Linked DNA regions of Danio rerio. The protein of the gene in region 2 interacts with the protein of the main gene of each other region in a biochemical or structural test. Links are inferred from orthologs where the notes say so. Each region holds a gene or a part of one and is shown on either strand. Other genes may lie near its edges. The genes, in order: wdr82 and setd1a.

Region 1 (4,447 bases), on a different chromosome or scaffold from region 2:
TCTTCATGTTTCAGTCAAGATTATGTTAGACACTGAATAAAAATGCACAATTGAAAGCACTTCAACAGGCTTTAAAAAGTGTATATTAAATTAAGGTATTATCTCCCAAACGGAAGATTCTGAACGGCCTGAAAAAAAGTCATCAGTAATTCCAGGTTTACTTCCTACATAACCCAACTACATAGGGTTGTAACTAATTTGTATGCCAGTTTATGGTCTTCATTGGCCGGTATGGTCTGTAAAAAAACATCTAATTTGACCCTCAATAACTGTAGTTATATCCGAGGTCTGAAAGTGTTTTGTGCAGCAAAGGCAAAAACACATTGTATGCACTGAAAGAAAATGTTCCTTTTGAACTTGAGGTGAATGCAAACTTAATGTACGAGACCTCCATAATAAATGATAAATGAAAAACTAACAGGACTGCTTTTACAAAAAAAAAAAAAAAAAAAAAAGTATTTTTTACCCCAAACGAGTGGAGAACAGCTCCTTTAAAAGCATCCAGCACTCTGAGTGTTCCTCCATTGGTGGAGACCAGAATGAGCTTTCCATCATTGCTGAACTTGAGACCCGTCCACTCACACGTCCGCTCATATTGCAGTTTAAATGTGGCAAATGGGCCCTGAGACAAGAATTTTTTTTACTTTTAAAACATCCAATATAACAGTACAGTTCTTTGAATGCAAATGTATAAAGTTACCTTATCAAAAGAGCGCAAATCATAAAGTTTGACCATCTCAGAATTCACTCCTGCAGCAAAAATCAACCCCTCGGGATCAAATGAGCACACAGGTTTCCCTTGCAGGTGCATGAGGCCCTGTGAACACAACCATGATTAGAATCAAGTACACACTAACAAGAAAAACATACCCAAATTAAAAAACAGCTTACTTGACAGTTAGGCGAGCGAAGGTCCCACAGACGAATGGTTTTGTCAAGGGAGCCAGAAATGAATGTGTCATCAACAGGGGACATAGACAGGGCGACAACCCTAGAATAGCATAAAACCCACACAAAAAGCCATATAACACCAATATTCAATTGTAAAAACAGGATGATAATTTAATGGCACAATTCCTCACCTTTTATTGTGTCCAGGAAAGTAGCGAATGTACTTATTGTCATGTAGAGACAGGTATCGTATAGTATCTGTGACAGCACAAATGTGTCAAAATATAACAACTAGAACAAGATTTTATTAGAAAAAATATAAACATGTACTGTATACCATGTCAGATGAGTGGGCTCAACCCTGGGCAAGGCAGTAGTCTGTACAGTTAGCTCCTTAACAGGGCAGAATAACAGACCCTAAAAACTGTACAAACAACTACCTCAACCCAGAACAGGCAAGGATAAACAGCCATACACAAATACCAGTAGTAAAGCTTAGGAAAAACCTGTTATTTAACTAATGTGTACAAGATTACATAGAAACGGATGCATACACTTATTATGAAAACATAATTATGAAAATGTAAGGTGAAAAATAACACTCATAACATTGAGAAATTTAATAAAACAAGTTAAAAAGGGCTCAGTGAATAAGCATTTCATCCCTAAAGCTTAAAATAATGGAATTTGCTGGGGGAAAAACAGCACGTTATCACACTAAGGTTTGGTAAAGAGTCCTACCGTCAATCTTGTTAGAGCTGTAGACGACTGTGTTGGCTGCATGGGTGTATCTGATGAGATCCACACCATACTTCTTACTGTAAAGCGTCCGTTTGGGTCTGATTTAAAGAGGGAAAAGGTTAATCTGGTTTATTAGATAAATAACATGCAAAAATTCATAACATAATTTGATTTTACAGTCAGGAGGCGGCCGATTATTTTAGGAGGCGTGGATGCTAACAGTTAGCACGCGTCTGTACATTAGATTCATTTCAGAGAATCAGTTTTTTCAAAGAGCTGATTTGAAAGAATCGGTTCAAGATATGGCGATTTTTTTTATGTCGCTACGTTACGAATGGTTAGGGTTTTAGAAAAGAAAATATAAGATAATGATTTAAAATAAACAACTAGACTCAAAACAAGAACATGGCTGCAAAAGGTTTTACTATAGCATATTTTTTTTCTTGCTTTCCAGTACAAACATCTAACGTTAAAGGTTCACACATCGATACACATTCACGAAGCAAACGAACAGTCTTGTTTTGAGAATTTGGTATTTAAAAATTAACAAAAAAGTGGTAATAGACTCAAAAAAGTCAAACAAAAACACTTAATCCAAATAAATAAGTCATGTTTCACCTTAAAATAAAATCTGTTCAAGTTCTCTCGCAAATTAAACGCATATCAAGTAAATGTATCAAGTTACATAACAACAAAGCAATAAAACAAAAAAGTTTTTTTAAATCTCAAATTTTGTTGCAGATAATTTTCAGCAGTTTTAAGACATAATACTAAATGAAGAACGGAAACAGCTAAAAAACGGAACGAAGCTCAGTGATTCAGTTCAAGTGATTCACTTGAAAGATCCGAATTACAAATAAGAGACCGCTAACTGTACACACAAACGCATTCAAAACACAACACTCGATATAAATAGGCAATAATTGTCACGATTAACATTATAGCAATAGATCTAGGTATTTATCCCATTTCAGTAACTTACATAAAACACAACAAACGCTGAATTAAAACGAAACAGTCAGTTGCAGGACAACCACATCGAATAAACTACAAGCGACTTACTTTCCTTCCTGGCAGTCGTACAAGACAATCGAGTCATCGTCGCTACTCGATATTACAGTTTCTCCATTTGAACTGAAGTCAAAGCAGTTTATTTTGTCGGAGTTCTCTCGGAAAACCTTCGCAACCCTGAAACTCCTCAGCACACTGTCTGTGAGCTTCATTGTGGCCTTTCTTGCCTGGCCAGGCGCGACGGGATCGTTTCGTTAAAACAGCGACAAGTTTGGGTTCTGGTTAAACAGTCTTGTGCGTTGCGAGTGTGTCGTGAAAATTTTGTTGACCGAAAATGGTTTTCAGATGTGTATTTCTGTCACATTAAAAAAGCCCGCCGACAGAACTGGTCAATGAACTGGATTACGAAAGACGAGATGAAGCTAGAACTAGCAAGGTGACTTACAAAATGGCCACCACCCCTGCGAATGTTTTCAGAATAAAAGTCCCATTACGATTTAGGCTGACGTTGAGGTTGGAAGGAAGTTTTTGTTGGTTAGGGTGATTTATTATACGCTCTGTATATTAACCTTCCATTACGTACACGAAAAACAACGAGGTTATTCTAGTAATTTAGTACTGAAATGACAGCTGTAACGAGGATGCAGAATTTCACATGAGTTCTCCATATACTGTTTTTCATTTCTAGCAAGGCTTACCCTTAATTTTTAGTAATTATGAAACCACATTTGCAGTTAATCATTATTACATTCAGTTTCCTTTACAATTTTTGAGTGTTTTTACAGTTAATTTCAAAGAGGATATTAATATCACACTACAAAATTACCTCTTCTTTCTCATATGACACATTCTGCACATAGACATCAATTCTAGCCTCACCCAGAACCCCAAACACAACCAGGGGTATAAAAGCAAGTACTGCATTGTTCTAAACAAAAACACAGAGAAAACCAGCATCAAACGTTTATGAACCATTAAAGTCTTTTTGTTTAGAAAAAGAACAGGATTAATTAATTGTCCTATGCTTTCTAACAAATCTACAATGGCAGGTGTTTCAAAGGTGAGTGTTGTTTAAAGTCTAGTTTGAACACCTCTGCAAACAATTTGTTAATGCTGTATGATTATTATAAATTAACCATAAGCTTGATTTTTTTTTTTCAAAGGGTGAAATTTGCACTGTTGGAGATATTTACGTATTAACAGTGAATGTAAGCGAGTTTGCACCGGAAGAAGTTATAGTAACCTCAACCAATAATGCAATACAAGTCTTTGCAGAAAAGGTAAGCAAAATAAACCTAAACATTTTGAAAAATTTTAAAGCTTAAACACATTAAACAAAAATATATTGTATTTACTCCTTTTGGTTTGTCTTTTTCAAATTTTCCCCTGACTTATGAATCAGTTGGCATCAGATGGCACAGTTTTGGACGTCATTCGACAGAAGTACCAATTTCCAGCTGATGTGGATCCAATGTCAGTTACATCGTTTCTAGGGAAAGGTGGATTGTTGATGATTAAAGCTCAAAAACACACAACAAAAAACTTGTGAACTATGGATTGAAACAAAGATGTGAAACCTGTTGCTTGGATGCTTATTATTTTAGAAAGGGTACTGTTTTCTTTGGTTTATTGAACAAAATGTTTTATACTTTAGCACAGATTTTTATTTTTGACTTTCTGAATATACACACATAAATCTGTGACTATCCTGAAATTACAAGCACATTCATTTATTGAGATGTCATTTTTATTTTTGGTCACTGTTTAAAATATTTGCACTTAACACTACTAAAATGTCTAATAA
Region 2 (4,484 bases):
CTATTTTGTTAAAAACCAACTGAAACCTGATCAGGTCAACATAACAAGATATAAAATTATAGACATTTTAATCTTAAGATCGCTCAAACTTTGAAGGCAGACCACTAAGAAATCATTTTAAAATGCTGACTTGGTGCTCAAGAAACAGTTCTGCATGACAGAAAAGATTTCTGTTCATTAAATTAGTATTTTGAACTTTCCATAATTATAGTATCCGGAAAAAATATCGTAATTGTATAATTAACAGAAAGTTCAAAACAACTGAATTAACAGAAATCTGTTGCAACACTGTGCATATACAGTCATGCTTGACCAATTTTTTGCATCCTAGCAAAATAAGTGTTAAAATATTAAAAGCACACTCACACACTGGCTCCAATCTATTTGAATTGCATTCATGGAGCACTAAAGAAATTGAGGGTGCTTTTACACTTAGACTTTAGTTAAGGAACATGGCATATTTCCCCAGTTAGCGCGGTTCGTTTGGCATATGTGAAACCAGCAATCATGCTCGGATCCACAACAAAACCATTGGTCCGAGATCACCTTAATGAGGTGGTCTCAGCTCGATTTAAACAAACTCTGCAGCGTACAGATTGTAGTGAGAAAAGCAAAACGATCCAACGCACCAAAGTATCAGGCCATATCAAAGCGTATTATGAACATGTAATAGGTATATATACAGCTATATGAAGAGAGAATTATGAGTAGGACGGGATGTCATTCCTACCAGTAAATGAGCGTTTCATATCAAATACGAAAGTGAAAGCATTACCAAGAGCGATTTATCCGTTAGGAAAATTGACTTACCCCTCTGATTTATATTTGGTGACGATGTCTGTGGGTGTCACCGCTCAAAATTAAAGTGCAGCTTGTCACTTATAATGTCTTATTGCTCCCTACCATAAATTAAAATAATGACACATGACAGCTGAGCGGGACTCTGCAAAATAAACCATGAAACTGACCCAAGGGAGGAGAGTTTACTCACGCATTACTTGTTTTAGCTATTTTGGTCCGTTTAGAAACTTTGCCATGTGAAAGCGAACCGCACCATTAACAAAGTGCAACCCTGTAATAGTTTTAATCCCTGTTTCGGAACAAAAGAATCAATCTACAGTTGTGAAAGCACCCTTAATAACCACAGAAAGTCCTCTGAAAAGGCAAGCCCACCTTTGATATCCAGCTGGACATGGACAATGTTTCCCATGACAGAAGTGTTGTGCAGGTGTTTGACTGTGTCTTTGGCCCCTCTAGTGTTGGTGAAGAGGACGCGGGCCAAGCCCAAGTGCTTCCGTGTCTTAGGATGAAACAAAATCTCCATTTCCTCAACCTCACCAAACTTGGCGCACATTTCTGCCAGGAACGGCTCCTTTATGTTATCATTCAGTCTTGCGAACGTCACTTCCTTAAGCGGAATAGGGCCTACGTAATACTCGTCCAACTGTGAGAAAAAAGAAAAAGCATTTTAACACAAAAATCCCACAGAAACATAGATCCTAAGAGACATGGCAAAAGAAACAAAGAAAGGAATACCTTAAATTTGGGCACTGGCAGCGACAGCTCTGTGTGTCTTGACCAGATTCTGCGGGGTCTCGGATCACGCAAGTCCCCCACAGGCGGAAATCCTGAATCCTAAAATCAAGCAGAATGTAGACTTCACATAATGTACAGCATTATAGGCTGAATCATGAGTTGATTTGGTGCAGGTCCATACCGGAACACTAAAGTGAATCCCATCATATCTGTAGATTTTCTGAGTAACCCGCCGGAGGGCAGGGTCTTGTACTAGCTTATAGCTTTTCCATTGCAGACTGAGAGTTCGCTGAGTGTCCGCCCCACTGTCCGGATCCATGCTATCACTGCAGACACAGAGAGGAGAATGAGGTGTTGTGCAGATGCTCGGCGACTCATATTGAAGTCGTAATGAGAAAAGCTTTGTATTTGAACTTATGGGTCATTAATACAAGCAGACAACCACACTGACAGTGTGCACATGCAGAAGAGCAGCACACATTTTAATCCTGAAAAACTCCATTTGGAATACCAAACAAATTACACATAAAATGCTGTCCCCTTATATACATTTACAAAACACAAACAGACTCTTTATGAAGGGTGGGGTAAGATACTGACTAATATTTTTTGTCAAACTGACAGGGTGATCTAACCCCACTACATCTGAGCCTGACAGAGATGCCTTATTCACATTAAAATGTCCTATTAACAGCATAGTGCGTGGAAATTAAACAGCACGACTTGCGGTTGTCTATTACAACGTAATAAACAGAAATACACTAAAGGTATGGCCTAATATACGGCATCTGACATATCGACTAGCAACAACAACAAGCTAACATAATAAACACTGGAGCTGCTAGCCGCTCACACTGCGCGGAGCTAGCTAAAGTTCAACTTCAAAATGATGTGACAGCAGAGTACAGCTCAAGTGCCAATAACTTCTAGCAAACGAATATACACCAATTTCCGATACTAAAAACAAATATTCCTACTCGGTGAGGCGAGAGACTCACAGAACGGAGCGCGGGTCTGGAGGAGGTTTGCCCGCTTCGCCTGCCGCTAGCTCGCTACAGCTAGGCCTGTGTCGGACGGGGAAAACAGACAATCCGGACTTTAAAATCTAGCTCCGTTTTGACACAGGCGCCTTAAATCTGCACTAAAACGGGGTCGCTTGTATTCCGGTGCAATATCGATGCGGAATAAGTGACTATATTCCGCCAGAAAATGAAGTGTGTTAAAAAGAATAACATAATACAGTAAGCAGCCATCGCGTAACTAACCTGAGTGCCTCGCCTGCTCGCCATCAGTCACTAGAAATATCAGCCGTTGTAATGGCACACGCACTTTCCACAGAATGCAGAACCTTGTGCATTTACTATAAATGTTCTTAAAGTGTTCAAAAAGATTGTGCTTTGTTATATTTTTAAAGCTAAATTGTAATATATGTTAACATTGAGTTATATTCTCTCCTTGGCTTCTGTCTTTTGACATCAAAATTATTTGACCATTGCAAGCGAGATTGCTTTATGGCGAATCTGCTGCTATGTTTCATTTTACCTCATAACGCTATGAATGTGATATATGCGTATGCTTAAAGAGTATTTTTTTATATTAAAATAGCAATACCTCGCGGTTGTTTAACACATGCACAATAAATTATTAGCGATATTTAATTAGTAAATAGTAGTAACAACAAACTTAGTAGAAGGAGATGACAGTAAATTATATGCAGACTCGGAGTTATGTGCAGAAACACAAAATATCATAATAGCCACTAGAATGGAGAATTTGAAAGCAAAATAGCTAAATATATTTAATAATTCGTTAAAATGTAGCACATATTTATAAACACATTTTCACATATTTATAAACACATATGCTATAGTAGCATAGATAGGGAGATAAAATATTACATAAAAAGGACACATGTTCGTGGACAAAGTACATTTTGAGTAAATGTTTGTTTATTTTTTATACGTTTTATTCTATTCTTAAGCTATTCGCTAGTTGACACATTACATTTTATTGAACAGTAGGTGGTGCTGCTACAATCTAAAACATTTACTGAACAACATTTTAATTCCTGGTATTTCTTGTTATTGAAGTGTATTTCGCACTATTATTATGCGAGACAAAGTAGTTAATATTGTAGATAGGTTCTATATTTTTGTGTTACCTGAGTATTTGTTGACTCCTCCGGATACATGAAGGAAACAGATTTTGTTTCATGCCAGTCAAGCATCATCCAGAAAGACTCCATGTGTACAAGTTGGATATTGGAGAGGTCAGAATCCTTCAAACATGTTGTTTCTCATTGGTTTCTTATGCATCTTTCACCACAAAATCGGTTGTTGCTTGCATCACCATCAATATTATAGGACTGATTAATGGTACTTTATTTTGGATGTTAATTCATAGCCTGTTTTTTCTCACATATGATGCACTGTTAAGCAAGATAAGCAGCCTTACAATTCAGCTTTCATTTTAATTCCAGTTTAAAGTTTTAGAAATTTAGTTGTCTTTCAATTTTTTGTCTATATACAGTTGTCATTCATTTGATCTACAAGTTTTAAATTGAGCTATTTTAGAACATCTGTAAACTAAAGTTAAACTAAACTTTGAATGTTACCTTGGCAACTACCTAAAATTAAGTGTGTTTTAAAATAATTTACTTCAGTAAAAACATTTTGTTTGAAGCAATGAAAATATCATTGCTTTAAATAGGAATACTGTAGTTTATTACTACAGCTCTAAATCAGGACAGTATGGAAAATACAAATAAATGTGTTCCGTGTGATTTTTATTTTATTTTTTTGCAAAATAATCACTTTCTAATTTTGGTTCTTGAAACCCAATAAAAAAGTTTTAACAGTAAAGCATTTACAACTTTGTAATGTTGCCAATCCTTTTCACAACACTTAAAATACATTTTGTGACTGAAGACATCAAGTGAAGTGTTTAAA

What was found.
Region 1: the proteins of setd1a (region 2) and wdr82 form a complex in vitro, tested with the Homo sapiens proteins (2 studies listed by BioGRID). The link is inferred for Danio rerio from reciprocal best matches to the Homo sapiens genes SETD1A and WDR82.

What each region holds. Positions count from the first base shown.
Region 1 is NC_133181.1:44,007,829-44,012,275, reverse strand, and holds the start of wdr82 (WD repeat-containing protein 82), read right to left. Parts: upstream 3,044-4,447; 5' UTR 2,856-3,043; coding exon 2,695-2,855; exon of another isoform or gene 2,518-2,694; intron 1,731-2,517; coding exon 1,633-1,730; intron 1,339-1,632; exon of another isoform or gene 1,256-1,338; intron 1,150-1,255; coding exon 1,083-1,149; intron 992-1,082; coding exon 892-991; intron 818-891; coding exon 701-817; intron 623-700; coding exon 467-622; intron 1-466. UniProt on the Homo sapiens protein: Regulatory component of the SET1/COMPASS complex implicated in the tethering of this complex to transcriptional start sites of active genes.
Region 2 is NC_133178.1:31,526,567-31,531,050, reverse strand, and holds the start of setd1a (histone-lysine N-methyltransferase SETD1A), read right to left. Parts: upstream 2,831-4,484; 5' UTR 2,535-2,830; intron 1,863-2,534; 5' UTR 1,856-1,862; coding exon 1,718-1,855; intron 1,636-1,717; coding exon 1,537-1,635; intron 1,445-1,536; coding exon 1,174-1,444; intron 1-1,173. UniProt on the Homo sapiens protein: Histone methyltransferase that catalyzes methyl group transfer from S-adenosyl-L-methionine to the epsilon-amino group of 'Lys-4' of histone H3 (H3K4) via a non-processive mechanism.